4 linked regions of the Arabidopsis thaliana genome follow. The protein of the gene in region 4 interacts with the protein of the main gene of each other region in a pairwise test. Each region holds a gene or a part of one and is shown on either strand. Other genes may lie near its edges.

Region 1 (4,749 bases), about 13 Mb from region 4:
CGTCTCTTCCTTATTCACGGGTGGAGGCGGCGACGGTGTTGTGGTCGCAGGAGGAGGAGGAGGAGCTGCTGATTCCGCAGGCGATGTTACTGTAGCGGACGAGCTCTCCTCGGAGGCTAAAGAGACAGACGGTTTGAGAAACAAGGAAGCAGCCGAGACTAGAAGTGGTGGCGCGAGTAGAAAAGCGCGGCGAGAGAAGGCGGTTCGTGATGGAAGATCGGAATCAGAAAGAGCAACAATGGATAGAGAATTGTTCTTCTCGCTGGTGAGGTTGATCGGAAAATGAAGGCCATAGAAACGTCGGCGGCGAGGACGGGAGGAGGAGGAGCAAGGGCAGTGAAATAATGGTTGAGAAGCGAAGAGATCATTCGTGGTGAGTTTCATTCTCAGAGGCCAGAGCTGAGAAGAGAGCTCCGTTTGTACACGTCAGCGTATTACATACATTGCTAAGACCGATACGAATAAGAGAAGAATTTTAATATTTTCCTTCACTGTTAAAAACATTCGTCAATTTTCTTCTGAATTTTTGAGCCTTGATTTTATTTGATGATCGGAGAAGATAAGATAGCCACGTCATTTCTATAAAAATTCCACAATTGTTTTTTTTCTCTGGTGCAGAAAATCCACATTACGTGACAAATGATGAGAGCAAGATCAAAGTAGACTCTTTGCAACTAAACAGATTACAAATCTTCATTGAACAAACACAGGAGAAGATGAATAGTACAGTCTCCGGATGAAAGACTATTCATTTGCTATGGAATTGGGCTGAAGAAACCATCATCACTGGATGTTGATGTCGTGGAAAGATGGCAAGACTGCAACCAGAGGATCTCCATAACCTACGGAGTCTGTTTGCACACGAAGCATGAGTTCATATCAATTCACTTATATAATTTCTGAATGTTCATACTAAATGAAACGGTTTGAATACTCAAATGTTTACCTCCGTCATCTGAAAGAAGCTTAAGGACTTCTCCAGCTACATCTGACTGCTCGACAAATAGCAAGATCGATGAGTCTGATTAGATAGTTTCAAAGAAGAGATGGATATATTAGTTAAGATATTACCGTCACTGGAAGTTCTGTTCCCAACTGATGTAAGTATCCAATAACTTGGCCTTCCTTTATTGCATCACCCTAAGGAGTTTTTTTCACTTAGCTCTTTGATCTTATTTCTGTTCTTTTGTTCTAAGAGATGCAAAAGAATTTAGAGTCGTTTACCTCTTTGCAGCTAGGAGATTGTTTCTTTCCTTTTACAGTTCTGCTCCTCTGAAACTTGCCCACCTTTTGGTAAGAGAAGAAACAAGATCAAATCAAACAAGAAAACTGCAGAGAAATTAAGGGATATGAAAGCAACCACTAATTAGGAAATGGATCTCATACTGCGGGAGATGTGACTAACACATAGTTGGTGGATCCAGATGCCTCCAAAGCAGCCAACTTTGCTGGTTTCCCATATGATGTATTCTTAAATGGAGACACTTTCTCAGAGGAAGGCTTTGCTTGAGATGGGCTAGGAGCCGAAGAAGCAGATTTATTCATAGGTTCAGAAGGAATAGGAGGCGCTACAGTTGGAGATATATCCGCCACGGGAATGGGGTTTGTGGCTGCTCCAATCTTCCGTTTTAGGTTCATCTCGAAATCTCCAACCTGTAGCAAAAGAAAGCTTCAGAAGAGTCTAATTGTTGGAACCTACATTCTATTATCTCAAATCAGTGATATTTAGCCCCATATTGTTGGTTGAGTAAAATGCACTCGTCTTTGTAGTAGCCTCAAAGAAAGTTTACAAATAATAATAATAATGAAGTTAAAACTAATGGCAGAGAGACTTGCCTTAAGTTGCAGCACAGCAACCTCAGTTTCATCACACATCTCGTGAACCAGTGCCTGCAACATTTCATCTAACAACATATAAAGAAAGGTACATCCATACGTCATGATTAAAAATTATAAGAGTAGATTGCCTGAAGTTATGCATCCAAAATCCTGACGATCTAGAAAGTGCATATTTGAGGAAATCGTCATATCATCACCTACCAAACTTATAAATTAAAGAACCTAATATCTAAGACCCATGAAAGGCAAGGAAGAAACCTCCACTTCTTTCGGGAAAGTTATCCGTCGAACTGTTTTCTTCCCGTCTGACACACTAGCATCAGATGAACCTGCAAAGCCAAAAATAAGCAAAAGTCATAGGAAATAAAAGAAAAATGTTCCAATATCACATCACTGTATCTCCTGGTTCCAAGACAGCTGGTAAAAGACCGAGGCTTACAGTTACATTTCTAGTTCCTTTAAGAGCAAACGAGACTAAGAATTTCAGTTCCAGTTCCTTTAAGAGCAAAACAGATTAATACCATCTTTGGCCAATGGATCGTATTAGCAAAGTGATGAGACAAGCCTGATAGTAAAAAAAGGCATTAACCAGCAAAATGAACATGAAGAAGAATTGTGGAAGATAAACTCACCATCACTTATGGTTGTTGTCGAAGATTTAGCGGCCTTAGCACGTAACACGAGCCTGTAGTTGCTGTTCCTGTTGGATAATCTCCACCGTGGCACACATGAATTACCAGAGGCAGACCAGTTTCCAGAAAGCGAGTGAACCTCACTCTGTGAATTAATGGCTGACCCTAAAGTCTCTGTAAAATGGAACAAATAAAATTCACTTTTTCTAGCTGAAACATCTCTTGATACAAATTAGACACACAAGATCCGAGATTGAAACTTAATTAAGTCGCTAAATTACACTCTAAGAAGCAACAACGTCACTAACGGATAGCTCCAATCTATGCCTTTCATTTCCGAAATTTTACTCATGGTCCTCCATTTCTAGTTTTCCTATCCTCATGAAATCAACAGAATAAGTAAAACGCAGAGAGTGAGAGAGCAAGAGACTCACGATGGAGAGATCCGAGAGCTGCAGAAGACGCCATTGGAAGAAGAAGAAAGCGTGAGCTAGATAGGAGAAAAAGGTTTTGGTTGATTGAATTGACGCCAAGAAGAAAGAGTGTGTTAGTTGAGCTAAGATCAGTTGAAGAAGATGACGGTTGAACAAATTTAATTATTTTGAGCGGCCTTCTTCTTTGGTAACTCCGTCCGCCGCATCTACTACTACACTACGGTCCGTCACTTTCCTTTGCTAACATGCGCCGGTATACTAACAAAAAGGCGTAATTTAGTTCTGAAAATGTAGTATTATTAACAAAGGCATATTCTTATCTCTCTTATATGCTTTCATCAATTAATTTTATCAAAAGTCTTCAGCTTCTGTTAAATACTATTAAGCAAATTTAAGTGTCCCCATTTTCTATCAACTTATGCAGTAGCTGACTCTATGTGCCATGGAATCAAACAAACAATACCAAAAGCAAAAAGAAAAGATTTCAAATGCGTTTTTTGATTCTTCTTTCTTTCCTAGAAATGTCTTTTACTCTTCTTGCTTCAAGCATGCTTCAGGTAGTCTAAAGCTTAGGCAAAACATAGCCTGCAAAGTACAAAAGAAATCTAGCTCAGGAACTACAGATGCTATGTTTTGATAATATATCAAAAAGAAAAACAGACGAGTGGGATCTTACCTTGTTTGGAGCAACATCTCTAACCTTGTGGAAGACTGGATCTTCTATATGGAACTTCAAAGCAGTTTCAGCTTCCTTAAAAATATCAACAGAAGCTGTATATCAGATTTAAAGGCTCGCAGAAAAACGCTACCAGATCTTTGGTACAAAGATATGATATAGTGAAGACAACAAAACTAGAAGGGACAAGCAGGAGGGGAGCGGTTGATACTTACTGCAATTATAAACTCTGTGGTTTCGCTTGCACGGATGAAACAATAGCAATGAATTAATGGAAGAGGTCCTTTCCAATACTTCTTTTGAATAACATTACTGAACGAATCTGCAAAAACAATTACAGAGCTTATATGCATTAGTAGTGTGACAAAAACAAATCCTGACTTCCTTTCTTACTTCTAACTGAAATTGAAGAGCCAATCACATAACTCTTCAAACAAGCCTTAATACATGATGCATCTCCTATTTCTATTGGTCCTGGTCCTAATTAACTTGCTGATGCGGAATGTAGTTGATAGTTGATGAAACTCTAATGCCTTGCAAGTATATGCAAGACTCTAGTCCCAAATTTTGAACAAAAATAATAAAGAATCATTGATAGCATACCAAGAAACTGCAAGGCAGATGCTGGAAGGTTCATAATAACATGGTCGATATGTTCCCACGGCTTTGCGATTGGAAGCAACGTTTGTCTCAATCTCTTATTTGCGTGTCCTTCTATACTCTTGCAGTCTTTTCCTACCCCATTTTCTGCACTCAATTAACATACTGGTGAGGATCCCCAGGCATTAGGCAATATTAACTAAAACAATGTCTTGGAGAAATCTTTATGAGGCATTTCTTACCCGTCTTTGTAGTACCAGATGGCTTCTTATTTGCACCAAGAGGCTCATTTATGCTTGCATTGGATTCACGTATTTCCTCTCCACTGGAATTAGTCTCACCTATGATTAAGCAAAGTAAACAGAAACCCACCGGTAAAGTTATTTTTTGTCTCTCGTAAAACCAAATATGCCAACTATAATGCAAAAAAATAGTTTAAACCAAAAGAACTACCTCCTCGACTCACGGCTGCTTCCTTTGTTTTATCATTATCAGCCACTGATTGCAAATTATCCTCGCAAGTTGACACCGCCATCAAGTGAGAGAAAAATTTACGAGCATCCATGTT
Region 2 (5,003 bases), on a different chromosome or scaffold from region 4:
GTGATGATGTACTCAACAGACATAAATTATTTATATATATTAAGATTTTTTTTTGTCGAAGTAAGCAAGTAAGACCATCTCCATCGGTGGTTTCTCACTGAAAAACTCCAAATAAAAATAAATCAAAAATATGAAAATAATAATTTTTTAATCAGTTTTTCTCAGAATCGTTTTTGAAATGAGAAACTTGGAGAAACTTTCTCTCTCTTCCATATGTCACCTTGTTATTAATTTCTTTTCTTTGTTATAAATAAAATTATCTATACTTTATAACATCAATTAAATACTTTATATGTTTGTTATTTTTTTTATTTTTACTTTAAAAATTCATAAAATTAAATTATCTATATAACAAGCTCTATCATGTATATGTTTAAATTATATACGAATATTATTTAATTGGTGTTAGTTAAGCATTAAACATAATAATAACTTAAAAATACAATAGCTTTTTTTAATTAGAAAACAAACATTTAAAATTTTCTATTTTTATTTTGCAACATTCTCGGCAATCGAATTCGACTTCGTGATAGAGATATGCACCAACAACTAAAAGATGACCTAGTTGAGCATATATGACAAAAGTTTGGTGCATCATCAAATGAAGAGTAAAACCATAATAGATAATATAGTTAGCTTTGATTTATGTTATCATGGTTTTATATGTAATTTCTGTTTAATTTATATATTTTTTCTATTTAATTTATGTTATCATGGTTTTATATGTAATTTTATGTTTAATTTATATATTTTTTATTATGATTTTATATGTAAAGTAATGTTTAATTATGTTTAATTATGGTTTTAAAAATAATAAAACTATTTAATAATATAATTTGTAAAAATAAATAATTGATATGTTTGAAAATATTGTAGAGATATTAAATTTAATATAAAAACATATAATAATATGTTAATGTTAATGAGATACTCATACCAATGGAAGCACAATTTTAATATAAGTTTTTCTACTTAAATTAAACATAAACATATTAATAATATATTATGAGATACTCATGAAGTATCTCACCAATGGAGATGCTCTAAGATTCTTCTTCTAACAGGTTAAACAAAAAGTATGTGAGTTTCACTTGTGTTCTTTTAAGGTTCATTTTTCACAAGCTTGACTTGTTGCCACCACGACGTTAAGGTTTTCCTCGACGAAGCCCATGAGTACAACTTCTTAGGCCCATTATATAACAAGATTTGTGTTATTAATTAATTTATCATTTTCAGAATAATATCGTTTTCCAGAGGTTTGATTTTTTCTAATAGCTTTTTTTTTTCAACAACAGTTTGTAAAATAATTTTAAATAGTATATATCATGAGAAGAAGAAAAATAGAAATATAAGAAATTACAGCACAAGTTTAAAATTCTTTTTACGAATAATAATAATTATTAAATTGATAAAATAACATTAAAAATGATAAGCTGTCACACAAGGCATGAATGAGTGAAGACCCACCACTCCAAAATTTGCTTTCCGCTTCTAATTTTTCATGGACCCGCATTAAGCAAACCAACATACATACATACCCCTTCCTTATTCTTTTATTTTTCTTAACAATAAAAAGCTTACTAATATTATTATTCATTCTTTTGTCATCTTATATTTATATTTTTATCGTTAGTTGTTGATATTTATTTCTTGTCCAATTAAATCATAACATTTAAGTGCCTTTCATGTTCTCTCACTCTTATATTTCGCCATTCCTAGCTATAAAAATACACATGTTTATGTTTAATCATAAGCTTTGATTTATCACTCCACCAACGCTAAATTATTACTCTAAACCCCTTTTTATCTGCAAAAGTAACATTATAAAAAAAATGTAACTCCATTGACATATAAACTCTAACTCGTCTGCGAATCTCTATAGTTTTAATATCTTAATCTCTTTTAATTTCAGATTGCATAAAAAAACATTTTTCAGGGAAAGTAATCTTCAATTTTCTGTAGTTAAAATATGGCAATTTTAAAATAATAATAAGCCAAAGCTCGAAACTTTAATAAACAGTTTTTGTTCATTCTCTTGCTTTACCATTTCAAAGTGCCACTTTTTCTTCCTAAATCCTCTCTCTCTCTCTCCGTTCCCGAGACAAGCAAAAGCTTCAATCTCAAATCTTTCAGCAGCTACAAAAATGTTCTTCATCTAAAAGAGACTGTGAAGCAGAGAGAGAGAGAGAGAGAGAGAGAGAGAGAGATGGGAGGTGTGACGTCATCAGTTGCGGCGAAGTTCGCTTTCTTCCCGCCGAGTCCGTCGTCTTACAAGCTGGTTTACGATGAACTGACCGGACTTCTTCTGATGAACCCATTTCCTCACCGTGAAAACGTTGAAATCCTTAAGCTTCCGACACGTAGAGGAACAGAGATCGTGGCTATGTACGTCAGACATCCGATGGCTACCTCTACTCTGCTTTATTCCCATGGAAACGCCGCCGATCTGGGCCAGATGTATGAGCTCTTCATCGAATTGAGCATCCATCTTAAGGTTAATCTCATGGGGTATGTTAAAGTTTTAGTCCTTTTCTCTCTAAGATAGCTCTGATGATGATGATTAGCTCTTCTGCTCTGAAATTGTGTTCTGTTTTGTATCTGGATTTGATCAAAGTCATAGACTTTTTTTAATGGCTATTTAGAAATTTTTTATCTGGTCCCTTGTGGGTTTTGGTATTAATGGTGTTTTGCTAAGTGAAAACGAATGAATTTGGAGTTTTTCTTTCTTTTTCTGGAGATTTGTTTATTCTTCTTGGTTTCTTTTGATACACTGTTTGATTGTTCTTTTGTGTTATTATGATTTTTCTCTGTATCGAGTTTTTGCTGATCAAGCTTTTGGTTGAAACATTTATATACATTTACTTGTTTTTGAGTCTATTGTTCATTGTCTTTTCCCAAATTTTGATTTGTTGTCTTCTTGTGTGTTTCTCTCTGGATAGTGGATACAACTTGGTTGCGTTAAGATGCTTAAACTCTTTCTATGTCTCAGATTGTGTGGAAACTTTAATTAGCTCACAATAATCTTTATGAACCAATGCATCTCTCAACTTCAGATCCTTGAGAACATTAAAAACCAAAACAACTTCATAGCTTCTTGATTCAGCTCTATAAATGTTGCTTCTCTGCTTTTGTATTTGTAGGTACGATTACTCCGGGTATGGACAATCTACTGGAAAGGTTTGTCATTTTGAGAATCGACAAGTAGAGATATCGATAATGATTTTACCCGATTCGAGTGAAAAACTAAATAACCGAACTTGTTTTCGTGTGACTGCAGCCAAGTGAGCACCATACATATGCTGATATCGAAGCTGCTTATAAATGTCTTGAGGAAACCTATGGAGCAAAACAGGAAGACATAATCCTTTATGGCCAATCCGTTGGAAGTGGACCTACATTAGATCTTGCTGCTCGGTTGCCTCAATTAAGAGCTGCTGTTCTCCATAGCCCGATTCTTTCTGGTCTAAGAGTAATGTATCCAGTGAAGAAGACATACTGGTTCGACATCTTCAAGGTATTAAATACATCATTCTTAGATGGATCATTTTCGATTTTCTTGCTTTCCTCTATCTTTTTCACAGTGTCCACTTTTAACAATATTTGCAGAATATCGACAAAATACCTCTTGTGAATTGCCCGGTTCTCGTCATTCACGTGAGTTCCATATTCATTTTACTCTCTTTTCCTTTTTTTCAGTTCGAAAACTGAGTGTATATAACTCTTTGTGGTTCTTCTCTTGTGGCAGGGAACTTGTGATGAAGTTGTTGACTGTTCTCATGGAAAACAACTATGGGAACTCTCTAAAGAGAAATATGAACCGCTTTGGCTCGAAGGCGGTAACCACTGTGATCTAGAACACTATCCTGAATACATTAAACACCTTAAGAAGTTCATCACAACCGTAGAGAGAGATCTCTCCTCGAGGGCGAGCACGGCCCAATTAGAGAAACAGAGCAGCGATTTGGAAATGCCGAGGCAGAGCGTAGATAGAAGAGAGAAGCCGAGGCAAAGCGTTGATAAAAGGGAGAAAGAGAAACCTCCAAAGGGTCCTTCAAAGAAGAGTAAGCTGAGAATCACGTTCGAGCAGCACTTAGATCGGACTAGGAGAAGCGTTGACTTCCACGAAAAGGCAAGGAAGAGCGTTGACCATCATCAGCATCATCAGAATCATCATCAGATTGAGAGAGGAAGGAAGAGTGTTGATAGATTGGATAGAGTACGGTCTGAGTAAACCGGAGAAAATCTACCACACGTACATAAGTTGTTACAGAACAAGAACATTTGATCTTGATCTTGATTGGCCATTCTAATGTTTATGGTTTTTTGTTTTGATTTGTGAGTTATTCTCTAGTTTTATTTGGGTGTGTCATTTCTTGAATGGTGAAGCTTAAATCTTAAGCAAACAAATGAGAGAAATTAGGTCTTTACAATAACCTGCTACGTAATTTATTTGACCCAACTTTTACTCGTAATATCATGCTTGGTTTATGACTCGAGTCTTGAAGAGTAGAAAAGGAAGAAAATTCGAACATTGCAAATAAAATAAAGAGGAATTAAAAACTGCACTGCACATCAAACGATGATGACAAAAAAATGATGCATATAACACAAACAAAAAGATAGAATTAAAGAGAAGTTGTCTGTTTTCTAGCTCTGTCAGAACATTAACAAATGTCTTCGAAACCGTAAGCCCCAGAAAACTTCACCATGCAGAAGTTTGTATGTTTTGGACCTTTGGTAATGACTTGTGTGTCAGTTGTGTCTTCATATTGGGGTTTTAATTTGGGCTTAGTTCGAAAGTACAGTAAACTCTTTAAGATTGCCCAAAATGTATTTTGAGACTCTAATTCTAATTTTCTGCAATACAATCAATGAATCAAACAAAAGTCAAAATCTCAGTCTCAGCTACTAATATTAGTATTCAAAAAAAAAAAAATTGTGTACGAATCCATAAATAGAAGAATTGGTTTCTAGTCCTGTTTAATTTTAAAGTACTTTCTAAA
Region 3 (6,855 bases), on a different chromosome or scaffold from region 4:
CAAACTTTTGGATAAAAAAAAAACTTGGATGACCACTGAGCATCATCGAGAGCCGATGAGTCGATGACGGCCTGCAAATCCAAGGTAACTTGGATGCTCAGACTGAGAAGCATTCTGTCCAAAACGAAGTACAAATGAGCGGAAAGGACATCTACAGACGCATCGAGATGTTGTACAACGTCACGTTTATAAAGTTTAGTTTATAAGACTGTGCAGTTGGAATGATCAAACATAAATCAAATTTGCATGCCACCTTCAATTGATATTTTCTTCTATATCAAATACACACATTATCATGTGCTGGATGAATATAGTTTCTATATCTAACGATTACAAAAATATGAAGGCTCAAGTTAAGTCCATTGAGATCTCTGGCTAAGCCAATTAGCTAATGATGATGTTTGTTTGCGTTGTAATGTGAAGTACATTTATGGCGTTTTACAAATGTTAATTACTGCTAATAAGACTATGATTCTCAATTATCAGTTGCTTCTCTGGTGATTATTAGTCTAAATTCGAGTTTAATCCATTTGGAAAGATAATCTATTTTTATTCTCCAAACATATGTAATAAAGTTTCTTGTATGTACACAATACAACTATAAGAAGAAAAAGAACAACAAATACAAAGGAAATGCTAAAAAACCAAACCAAATTACACCCACAAAAACCAAAAAGAGTACAAAGTTACTAACCTCTGCCATTTTTTCATCACCTATAAAGGGTTTCGATGGCACCGTGCGATGAATCACATTCAGATTCTTCATCATATCAACAACTTTTGGTGATAAGAGAGTGGTGTTTCCCATCCATTCAACCCCTATTCTGAACTCTGATGGAGTGGAAGTAGTTAACTACAAGCTTCGAATGGTGTCCACGCGATCAATCACATCGAGAGCTTTCATGCGATCAATGTCAAAATCAATGATGGGAACAGAAGAAGGTCTTCTGGTTGAGAAAGTATCCTTCTTATTCTTCATCATCTCGCCCATCATTGGTGAGTGGCTACTGCTTTTGCTTAGCCTATGGTGCTTACAAAGACGTGCTTTAGCCACCGTTTCAAACTCTTGGCTCTTGCTTATTCCTGGCGTCTTTCTCCGCTTGCTTACATCTCTAAGCATCTCTTGATCCTCCGTAGTCAGCAATGGCAAACCCATACTCGGGTTGTGTGAACCGCTGGAGAGTTGGATCGTTTTCTGGTTAGGTGATCTGATTGGAGACTTAACAGGAGATCTTAGGCCATAACCTGTAGTGGCCCTGACTTGGGTAACGAGATGATGGAGCCACACCACCAGGTCTAATATGTAAGCCTCGGTTTTTTCTTTATCTGCATGGTGAAGAGTATCTATCCTTAGTATGGTTTGACCTGCAGGTCTCTGGTTCGCCTCCGACCTGAGTTATTTTGCATAATCTAACATTTAGTAAAGAATGCAGTTGTCTGCATATATACACAGCACAAAGAGAGAATCAGCTTGTAGTCAGGGCTTACCCGGAACTTGCCCATTCTCCAACCCATCCAAAACCATGATGCGCTCTGGTTGAGAAAAGAAAAGACAGAAGAATAAGTCTGACTTACTTTAATAGTTAAAACTAAGGGAATTTTACATGCTTTTGTTAACAGAATTAAGACATCACATGTTCCATTGATCCGCCAAAAAAAAATACATGATTTAAGTGAGAACAGAGTTCTAATGATGACACAAAACCAAAGATAAAGAGATAGAAAACATCACAGAAGCTTACTTGGTGGTGTTTGTAGCAACAGGAACAAGCCACTGCAATGTTTTTTCCATTTCAGCTTTTATTTGAGGAACAGTGAGCTGGTGAAAACAAATCAGATATAGTGAGGTGAGCAGGGATACAAATAACATTTCAAGTAACACTGGACATGGTAAATTCATCTTGTCAGCACAAAAGCATTATGGGAAGTGTGAAACAGTATTAATACCTCTTCTTTAACCTGGAAGGACTGTATTCTGGAGCGTAAAGCAGATTTTATGCTTGGGGGTAAACCTTGGTACAAAGCATCTCTTGTGCTTGCAGGCATAGTGCTAGACCGGGACACCTACTCATAGAAATGATAAATTTAAAATATATTCCACAAGCCGTATGGGTCCAATCATATTATTATTGCTGATGCTTGGAGGTAGATTATTAATGAAATCGGGAGACCATTGGATACGAGAAACAAACGATTTACAATCCCAGGAACCTAGAGTTTGGACAACAGGCCAAACATTGAAAGTAAAACTAAGTGATAAAAAAGAATAATATACTTACAAGAGTATCAATTTGAGTAATGATGTTTGCGTAATGCAAGGCAAGACCAGCAGAGCCCAGTTTTTTATGATTGATTGGCGGGTCATTTGCAGGCTTATCAGGATCTGCATATCAGGTGAAATGGCCATGATTTGTAAGTACATCTTTCATTTTAGGTACAAGAAAATAACTAAATCCTCTATCTTCCTGAACGCTAAAATAAGACGAAAACGCTTTATCCAATAATCGAGTCTCACCCGCACCACCAAAGGCTTCGTGAATCTCTAAATGCAAGAAATGGACAACATCTACTAGTTTCTCCATCACCTAAGTATTATTAGTATTTTCAAGAATTAGCAATTGTGAATGCAGATGAGCCAAGCAACTCCAAATAAAAGGAAATATTATACGTTTATTGCAGCCCTTACCTCTTCCAAGATCCTAGACCAAAGAGACTTTTTCTTTAAGTTTCTAACATGCTTCTTCTGACTCTTTAATTCAGTTCTCAAGATAGCGAGGGTATCTCCCACACCTTATGTAAAAGGAGAAAAAATGGAAGATAAATTAGAACGACATCCAACAAATAGAAGAAACTAGAGTGTAAAACAATAGCATCCATTCCCAAAGATATTAAGAATAGATATTTTCTTTTTGGTACTTACCTCGTTGTGCTGTGCTTGGGTTCTCTTCTTCCTGGATCTTACGTTGGTAATCTTGTTCAAACCTATCCAGCGCATGGAGTTCATGATACAAGTCCTGAAACATAACATATACTCAGAGTAGATCGCTATTGAGGAAGTCAAACAGGACCAAATATCACAATTTTGCATGAAAATACGTACAGCTGTAAAATGAACAAATGACATCATCTGGTGCATAATGGTCTCTGCTTCCTGTTTCAAGTGTTTCTGGGGTGTAAATTCAGAGCCCAACCTAAATCATAACACAGAACTAATGAAAAGTCAGATACTTTCCAAAAGGAATACACCCGTTGTGTGACCACCAAAGTGACAGGATCATGTTGGAACCTGTCAAAGAAACGATCCAGGTTGTGGTATTGAGGATCCTTGCAACGATTCCCAAAACGCACCACCTCTCCAGAAAAAATCCTCAACTCTTCCCTGTATACAATTTCAACCGTCACTTATCTCCAAACTACAAATTAGAAAACAGCATCAACACAGAACACAATCACAAACAATTGTTACCTTTTATCAGCAGCAGCAATTCTCAACAGTTCATCCATGTCTTTCGATATCAGGTTCTGAACACCTTCTGAAGGTAACACAACCTCTTTCAAATGAGTAATGCTATCTTTCGAAAGAGAATGCATAAGATTGGCGCCTTTAACAATAGTATTAGCAACTTCAAAAGACAAGATTGATATCTTATTCCCTTTCACCGTCGTCGCAGAAGAAAACCCCCCACTAAGATTCAGATTCGTCATACTACTCCCGAGTGTATCCAACACATCCACAGCTTTACCAAGTCCCATAGTACCAGCCCTACCCAAAAGAGAGCTTACTTCCGAAACCTATAAACAAAAACACCTTAGTATAATAAATTTGAACTCAGAACTAACAACACACAACAGCTTAACATTTCTTTATATACCTTAGCAACAGCAGCTTGTCTAGACTTAGTGGATCTAGATTTCTGAGATAAAACCCTCGATAACCGAGGAATCCCATCCTCGATATTTTGAGGATGAGATCCACTAGAGACTATAGGAAACGAAAACGATTCCGATGTATGCTTATTATCATCAACATTCTCGGTAACAGGAGAAGGATCATCTTTAAGTCCACTTTCACCAGAATGAGAATTCAAGTCAGAGGCATTGTTATTGAGATGATGACCATTAACATGTGCAAAGGTTCCACCAGGAGCATTATTTACAGATGAACTCCTTGAACAAAGCCCACCCATCACAGCAAGTTTCCAAATTTAGCTCTCAAACTCTCTCGAAACTCTCCATACGCAAAAAAAAACTCTGATCTCGGATTGAACTCTCTAGGAAACTTGAAATGGATGAACAATGTAACCAGCGAAACACTGTAATCGCAAATCCTGATTTGTATGAAAGCAACAGTCCATTAATGGAGCAAATTGCTCAGTGGAAAAAAACTTGATTCTCTCATACGAAACCTGCCAATGAATCAAGAAGATTTTAAAGTCAAGAGGAAATCGAAAACCCTAGCTAAAGAAGAACCCAAAACGACAAATTCAATTCAGTAGCTTGAAGGAATGGAGAAGAAAGACCTAAGAAGAGTCAGAAACTTGGATCTGGGAATTAGATTGAAGTTCAGATTCTTCTTCTTCTTCTTCGTCGCTAGTTCTTGAGCAAAGCTCTAGAGAGAAGTGAGAAGCTCTCAGCTGAAGAATCGTGGAGATGTCTACAAGGAAAAGAGAAGAAGAAACGCGACTCGAGAAAGAGAGAGAGAGGAGAGATGAATTGAATTTGGGTTAGTCTGAAGAGAGAGGAGGAGTTGGAGAGTGTCAGATGGTGAAGTTAGCCAAAAATTCAACCCCCAAAGGCTTTTTCTCGTTTTACCCATTTCTACACTCTTCAAAACTCTCAATCCCATTTACACATTTTTATTATTTTTTTACTAACAAGTTGCAGTATATTTTATATTATCAAATATTACTACATAATTAGAATTATTTTGTATGTTACCAAATTTTATTTACATAGTTAAATTTATGTTTATATAGTCTTTTAAATGGATTTCATTGAAATTCTTTGAATTGGGATCACTTCAACAGAAATCAGAAATAAAGACACGTCAATTTCGAAGAATACCATATGTTGTTATCAAATTATCATCAAATACATATCGGTGTAATGTTTCGAGTTTGTTATGCGAAAATTCACTTTTGATAGGTGTTTTTTGGAATTTAAATTAGTATTGTGATGGAATAATTAATGTCGATAAAATCGATTTTCGTCGAGTTATAAGATTCGGAATAAATATTGTTTTCTCTTTGTGATTTCAATCTATTTTTCTTTTGTTTGAAATCATTCTAATTCAATATTATTGAGGCAAAAAAGAGTTATGGTTATATAAAAGAATTACAATATAATATCTTTTGTTGTATATTCCAAGTAGTAAACTAAGTTGTATCAAGTAGTAAATTTTGAAATATTTAACCATTTTGTACCTTTGATTGTGTGAATGAAGGAAGTATTTGGTAATTATTGTAAGTCCTTGAAATAGAAAAAGGTGAAGAAAATCAGTCAACATGTATATGCATATCTAGTTTTGAAAATGAAAGTTGACTTTTTACCAAGTAAAGGACAACAGAATCTAAAGTAGGTTTCAAATTACATTGTTTTACCAAATAACCTATGTGTGGCAATGTCATAATAGCTTTATAGCATGGTCAAAGGTAGGAAGCTTGAATAAAAAAAAAATGTTGATATCATATAGGAAAATAATTGTTATTATCATTTAGTATTTATGTAAATAAATGGAATGTGATGGCCCATAGCTTATTTATTACATAAAAGATAAAAGCTATAAAATGATTTGGAACTTCAAAGGTATGATCATTTATTTGGAATGTTATAATTATTCAAAAGAAAAACAAATTACAAGCGAGTTTTTATCTTTTTTTTTTCAAGTCTTGAGATTTCAATATTAATTAGTAGTTTGTAGTTGTAAAAAAAAACAGAAAGAGATTTCAATCGTATTTTCATAAACATGATCCTAAACCAATTTCAATGATAAACTAAGTGAAATTAATTCTTAGTATTTTAGGCTACTTATTTAACTGCGAATTAGCCTAATTTAATGATAAGGTTGCCTCTCTTTTGGACCAATTCCACGTTTCAACAAGTTCACATTGGTCAAATCTTTTGAGTTATTCTTCTGTCTCCATCGCAATTCATCATGAATATTTTGATTCTACATTTCTTTTTCTTTCTTTTTTTGCTCAATTTTTTGGTCAAATGATTCCACAATTCAATTTATATTTTTTGTAACTAATTCATTAGCCCCCACACTCCTAATACAAGAAAACAAAACAAAGGCACCTGAATTATCAAATACTAGTTTACGGCCCGCGCTATGCGCGAACAAATTAGTTAGAATCAATTAAATAACTATATTTTGTAAATGTCTTTACATCAGTAGAAGATCAAACAATTTTGTAAAGCATAATGCATATATTAAAAAGTTTGGATTTTTCTTGATTAATTGAAATCAGGTCTAATAGTTATAGTGGTCATAAACCTCTGAACATATTTCATTAGTTTAACAGAACTGGTACATGACATGAGAACTTCACACACGTTCGGTTATAAGTACGACATACAAACTGAAAACTAGATATTTTAAACCGTTTTTGTGACATTATTTGCGTCTAGTACATATGTGCTTATGTGTCTAACTTGTTTCCTCCACGTACCAAGGCATACCACACCTATAGAAAAATGCAAAACCATTTTTTAGTATAGTTACCGACAATCACTCATCAACTTTCCAAAATAAAACAAATAGAGTTAAATTCAAAGAAAAACGTTTATTTTTATTTTGAATATAATTTAACATTAAATTCAAAAAGATAAAAGGTAGTTGTGTCCAGAACTTGA
Region 4 (5,118 bases):
ATCACGTCGAGTTGTTCAACCAAATCCACAATATCACCGCCAAACACCAGCTGATTTAGGAACGCACCGTGTAAACCCTTTCCCAAACCTTCCACTTTCTTCATCAACTCAACCGTGCGTTCTACGTCTGATTTTGCCGAGTTACAATCCTTCTCTGTGATAGGTGAATCTAATAGAAGAAGCTGATGGAATTCTTGGAGCAGAGCGTCGTGGTTACGAAGAATAGAAGCGACTTTGGTTTTGAGATCGATGTAACTTAAAGACTTAGATCGATAAGACTTCATTGCATTTAAAAATTTAACGATGATTGTCTTATCATCCAACTCTTTAACTTTTTTCACGAACTCGCAACTCCGTTGAATCTCTTCTTCCGAACAATCCGACGGAGTTTCATAAAAATCTCTCTCTTGATTCTTCATCCGAGGTCTCTTGCAACTTTTCATGTTTGTTCAAATATCTTCTCTAATGGAGAGGCGATTCTAATTGTGATTATATATACACTATTTATAATATAGGGTTATGGTATATATTCGAACTCATCCTATTTGGGTTTACATATATATCCTAACAAAAAGATAAAACAAAAGGACTAAATGATAGAATCGAATATTTGAATAAGATTACTGATATTATTGAAAACCAAAAACAAACAGTACACACTACAAACAAAGCTTACACATTACTGTTGTTAACAAACCGAAGATGATGATGCCTCTGGAATCTAATGTAAGAGTAGTCTAAAAACAGTAACAAAAGTAGGAAACAAAACACTCTTTTGCGGGATTGCGAAATTGTATAAAGAGAGAGAATTACGGGACGTTCATTACCTGGATTGATTGCAGCATGTCCGAGACTGCGATCACGAGGTCACCAGATTTGATCATACCTCTTGATTTCAGTAACGAGAATGTTTTGTTCAAGTTGCTTTCCATGTCGTCTGAGAAGCTGAGACGGAATGGGATAAGTCCCCATTGTAGGTTTAAGCGTCTTCTCACTGAGGTTGTGGTTGTGAAAGCAAAGATCGGGCAGTCCGGGCGACATCGGGAGACCAGTGATGCCATGTGTCCGCTCGTTGTGTAAACGAAAACCGCGTCCACTCCAAGATTGTTAGCTGCAAGTTTTTGGATAGTAAAATGAGACACTAAAGACATATTGCCTTCTATGGAAAACAAAGAACCTAAATTTACCCATTTTAGCAGCTGAGTTACAGATCTCTTCTGAGATTTTGTCTGAAAATGAAGAGCCTATGGCTTGAAGCGGTACAGACTCATGGCGTTTCTCTTCCCTCCACCATCTCTCGATTCTTAAACTGACAGTCCTTAGAACCGTGAGCGCCTTGTCTGGGAATTGTCCCATAGCTGATTCTCCAGAGAGCATCAATGCATCTGATCTTTGTCTTACTGCTTCAGACACGTCGGCAACTTCTGCTCTGGTTGGAGTTGGGTACTCAATCATGGACTCCAATAGCTGTGAAGCGACAATGACGGGTTTGTTAAGAGCTCTGCATACTTGGACGATTCTCTGTTGAGCTGCTGGAACTTGCTCAAGAGGTATCTGAGCTCCCAGATCTCCTCTTGCAACCATGGCCCCATCTGATGCTAGAATAATTTCTTCCAAATTGGTCAGTGAATCGATACTCTCGATCTTTGCAATCACTCCAATTTCCCTGCATCATAGTTGAATACAACATCAAAATAAAACTATAACTAAAGATGGTGAATACATGACGCAAAACCCAATCCCAAAGTAGATCATATGTTTCCTGTACAGTAGTATGATGTGTTGATATTGAGCATGTTTACTTACCCTCCACGGGAACGAGCAGCAAGATAACTTTTAAGGTGATTAATGACTTCAGCCGACTTGACAAACGATACAGCAATGAAATCCACACCTTCAGCAATTCCAAAATCAATATCCAACCAGTCCTGAATATAAAGAATTGAGGTATCATCAGTGAAAATGAGTATGTTTTCCCTCAGGTATCATCTGTTTTGCTAACATGGACTCATCTAGTTTCCAAAAGTGTACATCTTCACCATTGCTTTGATCCCTCCCAAATTTACCAAGTAAAGTGAATCATAATTCAAAGCTTAAAGGGAAGATACAAAATTACAAACCTTGGAAGAAATTGTTGGAAGCATGGCATTACGCTCTCGTACAAGACTTCCATCTCTCCAAAACGTCAAGTTAGCTCGAGGAAGCAACAATCCAGGATCGGTACATAGACACTTAACATCAGGACCAATCTTCTCAATCACTTCAAATCTCACCATCCCACCATCAACCAAAAGTTCATCCCCAACTCTTACATCTACACCACACACAAAGACCAAATGATTCCTATTTCATACGCAGTCACCATAATATTCATCTAATGTTTTCACTTCCACTTTTACATAAACATAATTGCATATACCTTCAGCGAAACCATCGTAGCTAACACTAATGGTACGTTCAGGACGAGAAGAATCAAAAGCTCTAACAGTGAAAGTCCAAACCTCACCATCCTGTAAAAATGTCATCACCACCAAAGCTTAAACATCTAAATCACAAACACAGCAATGTCTACATCGAATTCAAATCAAAATAAGAAGAGATTAAACAACCTCTGCTTTAGCTGAAGCTTCACCACCAAGATCTCCCATATGAATCTCACTACCTTCAGTATCCATCATAATAGCAACCGCAAAGCCTTTCTCCTCATTAAGCCTCCGAACACTACGAATCACACCGCGGTGCCAATCACGCGTACCGTGACACATATTAAGCCTTGCCACATTCATACCTCCCACAGCAAGCGCCTCAAGCTGCTCAAATCCACAAGTCGCCGGTCCGATCGTACAGATCAGCTTCGTCCTCCTCGTACTTCTAAATCCATTCTCCTTAAGCTCAGCTTCCGTCACAGTATCAACCTCAATCCCAGACGTATCAGTCGTAACCGCCGTAGCGACAACGGATCTCTCATCAGACTTCACAGCACCAGTACCGTTAGGTGAGAGAAGTACTTGCGAGGATGATGATGAGGACGATGAATCGAGATCCGGTGAAGGAGATGATGACGAGGAGGCTCTGATGGAAGTGTATTTGATGGTTGTTAGAGGGAAGCGACGGAAGGAGATAGAGGAGAGAGGACGGTTGAATTGTGAGTGAGGGAGATGGAGAAGGTGAGGAGTGTGTGAAGGAGTGGAGAATTGAATAGACTGAGACATGGTTTCGCCGGCGACGGAGGAAGAGAGATCGGAGAAATCGAAATCGAAATCTCAGGACAGTTGGCTCTGAGGAGAATGAAGGCGGAGATATCGAAGTGTGAGAGTGTTGAATTTGGATTTTTTTTTTTTTTTCTGATATGATAGGACTTTGGGAGAGAGGTTATATTTGGAATATTTGTATTTGTATTTATATATATATTCTATGTTTTGGTGCCGTCGAGGCTGTATGTAAAATAAGTGTACCTACCCACCTAAGAATGATCAAATTAGATTTTGTGATTATTACTATTATTATTTTTAATAAAATATTAAATTCGACCAAGAAAAAATAAAGTTAGGATACATCAAATGTAACTTTTCCAAAATTGTTTTGAAATTAGATTATACAAGAGAGGTTTTAAGGACTTTTAGATGCAAACCATGTTTGGAGATTTGGTTCGTATCTACTATATTTCTCCTTTCAAATGATTGAGAGTTTTTTTTTTTTCCAGCTTATCTATTCACTTAGGAAGATGTGTGATAAGAATCAGAGTTTTATTGTGTGTTTTTTTTATTGCGTTCTCGCCAAATCGAATGAACCATTATTTGAAAACTGTATTAGAGGAAGAATATATGGATTCTGTTACAGTGATCAGAAGTAATAATAATGACTAGAGCTTGCCATATTGTAGAGAATCGTCACTAGAGTAGTGGTTTCGCTAGGGAGGACCAGACTGCCGACGAGTACTTACAGCTGAAAAACAAGTGCTCTCGTGTCTCGATAAGAGTGTTACATAACACACATGTTCGATTCAAGTTCACATTCCAAGCCTTCATTGAATCTAATGTAGAGAGTCGATTCCGCATTGCTAGCCATATACAAAAAGAGAACTATCAACTATGATAGGATCTAAAAAATCCAATTAGACTTTTCTAGAACTATTATATATATATATATATATATATATATATATATATATATATATATATTTTAAATCATCGTATACAATAACAAAAATAAGATTCGTTACCAAAATTAGCACAAATTTAATAATAAAATAATCAATATAAGCATTTAATTAACATTTCACACGATCGTATTATAACCATGATTTCAAATTATAATTAAATTTGTTATTTTAAATCCTCAATATAATTTACTTCTATTTAATTTTATATACTTCTGTGGGCCGAGAAAATGTAATTGTTATAATCTAAAATATATGGAAAGGCCCTAAGCCCGTTTGAGTTTTTTTTTTTCTCGTTTAAAAACATCTTTGTGGATTTCAAGTCTTCAACAATGTTCGTCTTTGGCGTCGTGGCTAATGGCGGTGACGTGTTCGGTGCCATTACGGTAGAGGCTGCAGCCGTTTGGGTAAGTAAAAGAAAACATTACTATATAGTTTTCATTTTAATATTTGTTATATTAAAAGTTATTAATAATTTAGATCATCATATTTACAGTTTTGACATTGTTTCCCGCATACTTTTCTTCTTCTTCTTCTCTCCACCCATCTGCTTTAAGGAAGGAACCTCAAAAGCTTACAAAATAGTAGAAGAAGAACTTTTTTTGATCTCCGATTCTTACCTCTGCAATCTTCAGATTCTAGCTGATTCAAGGTTTGATCACAAATTTCCCGATTTGTATATATATAATTTAGATTTGGTTAACTTTATCGAATCTGGGATCGTTGTATCCAAATCTGATCTGGGCTTCTCTGATTCAATTACTTGGGTTTGTAAAATTGATGGGTCAATTTAAAGGATGTATCTTTAGGGTTTCTCGATTTCACTCTGTTTGTAGAACAATTTGATCGTAAAAGTAATGATGTGTTTTATTTGATTAGGATCTTGTTTGTGATAGAAATTGGAGGAGATGGGAGCATTCATGTCGAGGTTTTGGTTCATGATGTTTCCTGCAAAAGAG

Evidence for each region.
Region 1: the proteins of PKP-ALPHA (region 4) and AT3G56130 interact in a two-hybrid assay, tested with the Arabidopsis thaliana proteins (one large-scale study listed by BioGRID).
Region 2: the proteins of PKP-ALPHA (region 4) and AT5G14390 interact in a two-hybrid assay, tested with the Arabidopsis thaliana proteins (one large-scale study listed by BioGRID).
Region 3: the proteins of PKP-ALPHA (region 4) and AT1G34320 interact in a two-hybrid assay, tested with the Arabidopsis thaliana proteins (one large-scale study listed by BioGRID).

Annotation. Positions count from the first base shown.
Region 1 is NC_003074.8:20,825,042-20,829,790, reverse strand, and holds AT3G56130 (biotin/lipoyl attachment domain-containing protein), read right to left. Parts: upstream 3,216-4,749; 5' UTR 2,940-3,215; coding exon 2,906-2,939; intron 2,646-2,905; coding exon 2,472-2,645; intron 2,169-2,471; coding exon 2,098-2,168; exon of another isoform or gene 1,942-2,097; coding exon of another isoform or gene 1,891-1,941; coding exon 1,837-1,890; coding exon of another isoform or gene 1,833-1,836; intron 1,654-1,832; coding exon 1,387-1,653; intron 1,288-1,386; coding exon 1,225-1,287; intron 1,141-1,224; coding exon 1,072-1,140; coding exon of another isoform or gene 1,060-1,071; exon of another isoform or gene 993-1,059; coding exon 947-992; coding exon of another isoform or gene 885-946; exon of another isoform or gene 852-884; coding exon 784-851; 3' UTR 521-783; downstream 1-520. Other genes in the region: AT3G56140 (DUF399 family protein, putative (DUF399 and DUF3411)), read right to left, coding at 1-384; AT3G56120 (S-adenosyl-L-methionine-dependent methyltransferases superfamily protein), read right to left, coding at 3,434-3,490, 3,582-3,656, 3,797-3,903, 4,185-4,328, 4,424-4,522, 4,635-4,749.
Region 2 is NC_003076.8:4,636,779-4,641,781, reverse strand, and holds AT5G14390 (alpha/beta-Hydrolases superfamily protein), read left to right. Parts: upstream 1-1,946; 5' UTR 1,947-2,206; coding exon 2,207-2,508; intron 2,509-3,140; coding exon 3,141-3,177; intron 3,178-3,277; coding exon 3,278-3,514; intron 3,515-3,606; coding exon 3,607-3,654; intron 3,655-3,745; coding exon 3,746-4,231; 3' UTR 4,232-4,495; downstream 4,496-5,003.
Region 3 is NC_003070.9:12,518,045-12,524,899, reverse strand, and holds AT1G34320 (Ikzf5 (DUF668)), read right to left. Parts: upstream 4,842-6,855; 5' UTR 4,521-4,841; exon of another isoform or gene 4,407-4,520; 5' UTR 4,188-4,406; coding exon 3,873-4,187; intron 3,793-3,872; coding exon 3,467-3,792; intron 3,380-3,466; coding exon 3,287-3,379; intron 3,192-3,286; coding exon 3,101-3,191; intron 3,015-3,100; coding exon 2,921-3,014; intron 2,791-2,920; coding exon 2,687-2,790; intron 2,586-2,686; coding exon 2,516-2,585; intron 2,384-2,515; coding exon 2,280-2,383; intron 2,065-2,279; coding exon 1,948-2,064; intron 1,820-1,947; coding exon 1,743-1,819; intron 1,534-1,742; coding exon 1,489-1,533; intron 1,392-1,488; coding exon 854-1,391; 3' UTR 523-853; downstream 1-522. UniProt on the Arabidopsis thaliana protein: Promotes seedling growth probably via the regulation of phytosulfokine (PSK) signaling; PSK are peptide phytohormones acting as growth factors. Together with PSI2 and PSI3, required during vegetative growth and reproduction.
Region 4 is NC_003074.8:8,137,463-8,142,580, reverse strand, and holds PKP-ALPHA (Pyruvate kinase family protein), read right to left. Parts: upstream 3,397-5,118; 5' UTR 3,213-3,396; coding exon 2,610-3,212; intron 2,511-2,609; coding exon 2,420-2,510; intron 2,315-2,419; coding exon 2,121-2,314; intron 1,929-2,120; coding exon 1,807-1,928; intron 1,667-1,806; coding exon 1,188-1,666; intron 1,112-1,187; coding exon 810-1,111; 3' UTR 529-809; downstream 1-528. Other genes in the region: AT3G22961 (Paired amphipathic helix (PAH2) superfamily protein), read right to left, coding at 1-443; ARFC1 (ADP-ribosylation factor C1), read left to right, coding at 5,068-5,118.